Tribolium castaneum: one gene and its partner. The protein of the gene in region 2 binds, or shares a complex with, the protein of the main gene of each other region. Links are inferred from orthologs where the notes say so. Each region holds a gene or a part of one and is shown on either strand. Other genes may lie near its edges.

Region 1 (2,956 bases), on a different chromosome or scaffold from region 2:
GGAAAATTGAAATAAATTCACCACTTCAACTTTGCAAAATTACAGAAACCTGTAATTGCCCACTTGTGAGTCCCTCGATTTTACTAACAACACTCAAACTTTCAACCAGCTGGTCCCCCCATGGATACTTGGCCAAAATTTCAACGTTCTGGGTCCCCTCTGTTAAAATATAACGTCCAGGTGACGAAGAAAACTGTAAAACTGGCTGTTGAAAAAATCAAAAAAAATTTGAAAAACCAACTCGGCGCCACCAAATTTTGCGCTCGCGTTGCCATTGGTGGAAAAACTGGGTCACGTCTTTCGGGGGCATAAAAACGCAGCATTCGTAGATCCGTCCCTGGTCGAAATACTTCTCAAATCCTGTTTTATCTAGTTGTTCCTGCACTCGCAATTTTCTCTGTGTTACACGAGAGATGCCAAACGGGGGAATCCCCAAACACGTCGCTTTGGCAAAATCGAAAGTCGCCGCGAAATCGTCCACACAATGAAACATTTGAATGTCTTTACTAATTACGATATTATTGAGCCACTCGGTGTGCAAATTTTCTTGCAAAAGTGCCCCAGTTGGCCCGATTTTGAACATTTCTAGCCTCGGATTGGCGATTCTTCGCAAGAATCCGTGCTTTTCACACAGTTTCACGATCTTTTCGAACGTCATCGTGCAGCAAATCCTCGCGAGGCTCCAGGGGGATGTTTCCAGGGGGGGCGATAAAATACTCCTCTTCGGTGATTTCAGCGTTTTGTAAAATATCCTCACGACAGTTACCTTCAGTAACACAGTCTTCCCGCGTCCGTAACGGCCTTGAACACGAAATCAGACCAAAAAACGAGGCTTGAGCCCTCACCTGTCTTCCAAAACCGTAACTAAAGGCTCGATGTTTGAAGTGTCCACTTGTTGGATTTGGTCGGCAAAGGCAATAGCGTCCTCCAATGTCTCTATCCCCTGTTTATTAGCGCAATCAACGAGTGATAAACGCTCTAGAAGGGCTATAGTTTTAGCGTCAATGCTAGTGCGTGGGGGCAACTTATTCCGGTCGATTTTTGACCGTGTGGGGGCTTTAGGCACGAAATAGTTGACTTTTCCAACACTTTGGATGCAAAAGTAACGGACACGGGCGAAACCACAGCGCAAAAAACTCATTTTTCGACACTAGTTTGAGGTTAGGGCCCGGCTTTTACTTAAAAAACGCCTGACTCTCATACGAAAAAAACGTTCACTTATTAACTGTTGGTGACTTTTGTGTAAATAAAGTAATTACGTTAAAAAATGTACACAAATTAGAAAAAAACACCAAAAATTGCGCTTGGTGAGGTAATGGAAAAAGTGAGGTTATGTAACATTTTTATTGCAGGCTTGTTATTAAATATTGTATAAATAATTGTGGGATTTGCTTCGTGTCAGGCGGGTGAAGTTTGCAATAACTTAAGTATTGTCTCCTCAAAATCATCAATTTTTGCACGGTTACGTTAGAAATATCGATGGATAGGTGAGGGAAATCCTCAATTTTTACAGCTCCTTGTACCCCCATATTCTTGCTTTTGACAAGCCCGTCTGTGATTTTTTTCGTGACTTGGTCCAAATCGTATAAGTTCGTTGAGTTTAGTGGGGGCTACAATTGTTCATTAGTGAAAATTGTTACAATAGAAATATTTCCTTTACGTTTTGAGTGGACATGTTAGGAACGACCGGTTCTGAGTCAAATAAACACGACATGATGGCACTTTTGTCCAGCTCTTGTCCGGGGAAAACCACAAATAGGGGTGAATCCCAGCGATTTTTCCCGTCGGGGTCTTCATACCGCATCAGAAGGGCATCAAAAGTATCTCTGATATACCTTTCCAATTCTGGCCGCTTCTCATTAAATTTCCACGCTTCGTCCCGGTTTATTTCAGTGTGAACCGTACACTGGGTGTTCTTGTTGGCCTTTGAGCCACAATACAGCTCGTACCGATAACCTGGAACGATTTTAAAACACCAAATCATACACAACTTTATTTACCTTTGATATAATTCAAGGCATCAAGTATCACAACATTTTTTTGTGTTATCAGTTTCAAAACTTCCGATTTGAGCAAACTTCGGATGTGTTTTTCAGCCGCGGCATCTGTGCATAATATTACAAAACAAATAAACCAAATTATCGATACTTGCCTGAAAAAAACGCGTTTTTTTCAAAATTGGCTTTGATGATTTGGTCAAATTCGCTAACAACGTGCACCTCCTTGCCGTGGCTTTCGAAAAATTGTTTCAGTTCAGTGGAACGGGTGGTTTTGCCGCTGCAGGGGACCCCAGTTACCACAATTAGGGGCATTGTCAGATGGTTTTTTAAGGTTAGATTTAATGACGTTTCAGCAGCACTTCCCACACATTACTTAAAATAAAAATTTGTAACAAAGTATTGACAATGGGGCAGATTCGTAACCACCTGTACCACGGGTAAGGTCATTAGCAGTTTGTAACCCAAAATTGTATTTTTTTGAGATTTCTTTACTGTTGCATCGTACCAAAGTTTTGGAAGCACTGGTTTAAGGAAACGCGCCAATTTTAACTTTCCGATTCAAAATTTTAATTTTAGATCAAAATAAATACAATTTTTACGTTTCGTGACCCGTAACTTACCCAGATGCGTATCTGAGCCTCGTTTTTTGCCACTGTGTGTTAAATTTTTAAACGTTTTAAGATTAAATTATAAATATTTTATCTGATGAAAAAACACAGTTCATTGTCCGAAATCACGAAGAAATGTTGGGATTAAGACAACCAAAGGTTTTGTCCGTATTTATAATACTTTCCACTGAATTTTTGCCGGTTTTAGACCAGGCTTATTGTCCAGAAATGTTTTTATTCATCTGGGGCCCCCACACACATGAATGTGCAAAATGGAATTGCGAAAATAGTGATGTGCGACCAAAAAACACGGTACTTTCGTTACATTTAACAAAAAATAGGTAAAAA
Region 2 (4,185 bases):
TTGTGGAAAACCTTGTCAAAGCCGACCATTTCCAAAAAAGGCGCGTTCATGTTTTGTTGGATAAGCAGCTGCTTCTGTTTGTTGATTTTGGCGGTGAATTCATCCTCGAACTGGCCGTAGCGCGACTCAATCGACGCTAGGGCTGATTTCCCGCAATTGACCTTCTCAGGCCTTATGAAGGAACCTGAAGTCGGGTTTCTAAAATTTGGTAAAGTCGGGGTAAAAATGAATGGGGATCAATACCTGGTGGTGAAATATTGCACTCCGTTGACGCGGCCGTCGTGTTTGCCCCGCTGGGGGTTGTCCCAGTCGATCCCGAGCCAAATTGAGGGCTTGCCCTCGATGGGGCCCACGTATTTTACCGTTCCGATGTAACCGCCGCTCTCGACGCGGTCCCCAATTTGGCAAGGAGAGTGCGAATTTGTCATAGCTGTGATGTCTACAAAATTATTTGTGATGATTTTTTTCGCAAAATTACAGTGAGGTTAGGTTGGAAAAAGGGTATAAAAACTTACTTTTTTCAAGTCAGGTGGGTTAGAATCAAGCTAAATTTATACCGTACGGCCAAATTGTTACAATTATTTCAATACATACAACACATTATTGATTTAAAAGTAATATGAATCACAATTTTTTTGACATTTGTGATCGGCCCACGAAATCTTATGCGCGTCGAGACTTAGGATATTTTGCGCCAAACGATTCCGGGTTTTCACCCGAATTTAAGGAAAAAATAAAACACAACAAATACATTACGACTGTTTATTAACATGATTACTGTTTATTCAACAATTCTTTTAAAATCTTATCACATTTTTTCATGTCTGCTCTTTGTTTACTTTTCGTCGCCACGTATCCAAGAAGTGCTTTAAAAACTTTCGTTTTTCCGCCCTTGTACTGTTTCACAACTTTTTCGTTCTGGTCTAAGGCCTCCTGACATAACTGTCTCAACGCATCTTCGTCGGTAATCTGTAACCAGTTTTTTTCTCTCACGATCTGGAAACAAATAATTCGTAAGTGAAACAACTTCGGTCTTGCAAACCTCAAGTGGCCGTTTTGTGCTCCCTTGGATGATTTCGTCCAAGACGAGCTTAACCGTGTTTCTTGTGATTTCACCATTTTGCAAAAGTACGGCAATTTCCCCAAAATAGTCAGAATTAAAAGAACTGAAAAATGTAACTTAATCCCGATCTAAACTACTATGTTTCCGCACTTAACTCACAATTGGCTCGGTTCTAAATCCATCTTATTCAGAATCGAGGTGTACTCATTTATCAACAAGTTGGCGAGTAGTTTTCCCTCAATTTTTTTCGCCCTCCAAACGTCCTCAAATAAATTTAACAGCGAACTATCATTCACTAAAATAATGCTTTGCTCTAGAGTCAAACCGGAGCTTTCCCTCAGTCTAACTCTCGTTCCTTCCGGTAATTCCGGGAGAGAACTTTTGAGGGAGTCAACACTGACGCACCCTTGAGACACCGGACCCATTGCCACGTGCAAGGGGGGCAAATTAGGCTCCGGCATGTACCTATAATCCTGAGCAAATTTCGAAAATTTGACACAAAATTGAAAAAAAAACCTGCACTTGCTCCTTGTCTCTCATTGAAACTGTGACTTTACCCAAAGCGTCCCAAGCCCTAGTTTCATTCTCCACAGCCCCCCCAGACTCCTTCACTTGAATCTGGCGCTCGATTTCGTACCGAATCGCCCCCGCGACGCCCCTCACCGACCCGATATTCTTGATCTCCGTGCGCACCCCCAGAGCCTCCCCTTGTCTATTTATGGACACGTTCGCGTCCACCCGCAGGGCCCCCTCTAAAAATTTCGTAAGAATGTTGCCATTGATTTTAAAAGGGGCCCACCTTCCATTTTGCAGCTGCAAGTGCCAATGCGTTGCAAAATCGCGATTAATTCCTTAACTAGGGCTGCGGCCTCCTCGCCGTCGCTCAAATCGGGCTCGAAAACGACCTCCATTAGGGGAACCCCCGCACGGTTTAAATCAACGAGACTGCGGTCAGTGTCGTGGAGGCTCTTTCCGCTGTCTTGCTCCAGCTGGAGCTGCTTAATGCGGACTTGCCTCTTGTAGGGGGCTTTGTGAACACCGGGGCTAAAGACTTGGAATTCGAGACGGCCGTCGTTGGCCAGAGGGTGTCTCTGCTGGGTTATTTGATAACCGGCCTCAACGCAAAAATATAAATCACCAAAAAAACTGGTCAACAACTTACAGGGAGATCTGCGTAAAAATAATGTTTGCGGTCAAAAGTTGAGACGGGATTTATTCGACAATTCAAAGCTAGCGCCGTTAAAACCCCGAATTCGACGCATTTTTTGTTAAGTACGGGCAAAGTGCCGGGAATTGCGCAGTCGAAAAGGGCCACATTTGCGTTCACGGGGGACGAAAACTTGGTTGAAGCACTTGAGAATAGTTTACTGGTTGTGTTAATTTGGGCGTGAACTTCCAAGCCCACGACACTGTTCCATTGATTGTTGGCGCTAAAAATCCAAATTTGAGTCTAAATTGGGCAAATCTAGCCCCCATACCCCGCTTTACTAGAAAATAAACGTCTGGTTCTTTGACATAAATGACAGCCCCTGCGAAAATTATAGGTAAATTTATTGAACATTTTGCCTATTTTAAACACGTCTATAAAACAGTTTCCCTTTTTTTTTAATTTATATACAAATTTTTGGAGATAACCTGAAAATCGGAACAATGACCTTCAGGTCCAGAGTGGCCAACCATAAAAAATTAGAACGTGTTTACGTTATCACGATAGGAGCCTAAATAAATGGTTGTATTTTTTGTTGGTTGTGGTAATTTAGAGTAATTTTTTTCAAGAGAATGGGTGAGATTTGTGTGGTGTTCTTGAGTGGTTTTATAAAATTTGCTTTTTTTCCTGATTGAATTCGTATTGGTGCACCTGATGACGCTAAAACGGCGTCAAATTTAAAGTCTTGCAGTTTATCCGTACAGTATTACAAAAATTCGTGGCTTATTATCTAATTAAATTAACCGAATAGAAATTACAAATATTTATTTTGTTATCGTTTAAAAATAAAAATTACGACAAACAAGCTGTGTTTTCTTAGCGATAAATTTTTTGCCCATTTTCCGGGAAAACCTATCACTAGTAGCGAATAGTACTAGTTGAAAAAAAATTATTCAAAGATTTTTAATGGAAACTGATGAGAGAAATTTTTAATGATTGTGGAAGTGTTAATTAATTAATGCCCAATTAACCAAAGAAATGCAACGTTGTGTGTATTTATTAAACTGGTGGCGATGTGTGGCTGAAAATTCCTCGGAATTAAATGAAATTCAAATTTAATTAACGATTTTTTTAAATTTTTTGTTAAATGTCATCGTATTCCCAGCGCTGTCTCGCCGCCTAGATCGGAGCACCTGTTGTACTCCCATCCTCCACATGCGAGGCCCGATATCTCCATCTCATGCTATTTCTCAGCGAGCCAATGAAAACAAACTAATTCAGTCGTGTTGCGCCGGCAAAACAGTGCGCGTCGTAATGTGATATGTAGAAAAATCGTGGCCAAATATTTTACAATTGAACTGGAATATTTAACGAAACGTAAACAGAGCCGTTAATTTCATATGTGCTTTCATTCTAACCGCTATGTGCCGTTAAAACACCGCCAAACCGTCCGAATTCCACATTTGAGTGATGTAAATTTGGATTCAAGATGGCCGACTCTTATTACCAGGTGAGAAACAATTATGTATTTTTGTAATTATCTCAGCGTTAATAGCGACTATTAGCGCACAAGCTGGAAATTTGGCTAAGTAATGGGCTAATGGATGTCCTTGCGGGCCCGAGTGGCCAGGTCGCAGCCGTAAACAGATTAATTATTAGGTTATAATCTGGGGGGCTAAGCGAATTATCCTTAATTGTCTCAATTGCTGCGTTACGCTGTAAGTCAAGGTTTTACGTTCATACCGGTTTATTTTCGGATGCAAGTTTACTTATTTGTGGTTATCCCTGTTTTCAAGGTTAATGTCTTATTAATAAATAATTTGCCGTAAAGGTGGGAACGCTGGCCACTCGAGATAAACTTCACATTAATTAACCGAGGCTCACACATAAGGCAGTGGCATTGATTGATATCTGTTTTCTATGTTGTTGATCGGGTTTTTAAATGAGTGACAAGTATGGAAAATGACAAACAAGT

What was found.
Region 1: GatB (region 2) and GatC share a complex: the UniProt entries of both Drosophila melanogaster proteins name them as parts of the heterotrimeric GatCAB amidotransferase (AdT) complex. The link is inferred for Tribolium castaneum from reciprocal best matches to the Drosophila melanogaster genes GatB and GatC.

Annotation. Positions count from the first base shown.
Region 1 is NC_087399.1:7,965,690-7,968,645, reverse strand, and holds GatC (glutamyl-tRNA(Gln) amidotransferase subunit C, mitochondrial), read right to left. Parts: upstream 1,324-2,956; 5' UTR 1,142-1,323; coding exon 846-1,141; intron 802-845; coding exon 627-801; downstream 1-626. Other genes in the region: PolG2 (DNA polymerase subunit gamma-2, mitochondrial), read right to left, coding at 50-193, 242-658; protein KTI12 homolog, read right to left, coding at 1,344-1,610, 1,661-1,956, 2,001-2,105, 2,153-2,312; enoyl-CoA hydratase domain-containing protein 3, mitochondrial, read left to right, coding at 2,744-2,767, 2,817-2,920. UniProt on the Drosophila melanogaster protein: Allows the formation of correctly charged Gln-tRNA(Gln) through the transamidation of misacylated Glu-tRNA(Gln) in the mitochondria. The reaction takes place in the presence of glutamine and ATP through an activated gamma-phospho-Glu-tRNA(Gln).
Region 2 is NC_087394.1:27,621,580-27,625,764, reverse strand, and holds GatB (glutamyl-tRNA(Gln) amidotransferase subunit B, mitochondrial), read right to left. Parts: upstream 2,737-4,185; 5' UTR 2,625-2,736; coding exon 2,542-2,624; intron 2,494-2,541; coding exon 2,226-2,493; intron 2,179-2,225; coding exon 1,863-2,178; intron 1,816-1,862; coding exon 1,580-1,815; intron 1,537-1,579; coding exon 1,223-1,536; intron 1,167-1,222; coding exon 1,043-1,166; intron 997-1,042; coding exon 775-996; 3' UTR 749-774; downstream 1-748. Other genes in the region: Tbce (tubulin-specific chaperone E), read right to left, coding at 1-198, 244-428. UniProt on the Drosophila melanogaster protein: Allows the formation of correctly charged Gln-tRNA(Gln) through the transamidation of misacylated Glu-tRNA(Gln) in the mitochondria. The reaction takes place in the presence of glutamine and ATP through an activated gamma-phospho-Glu-tRNA(Gln).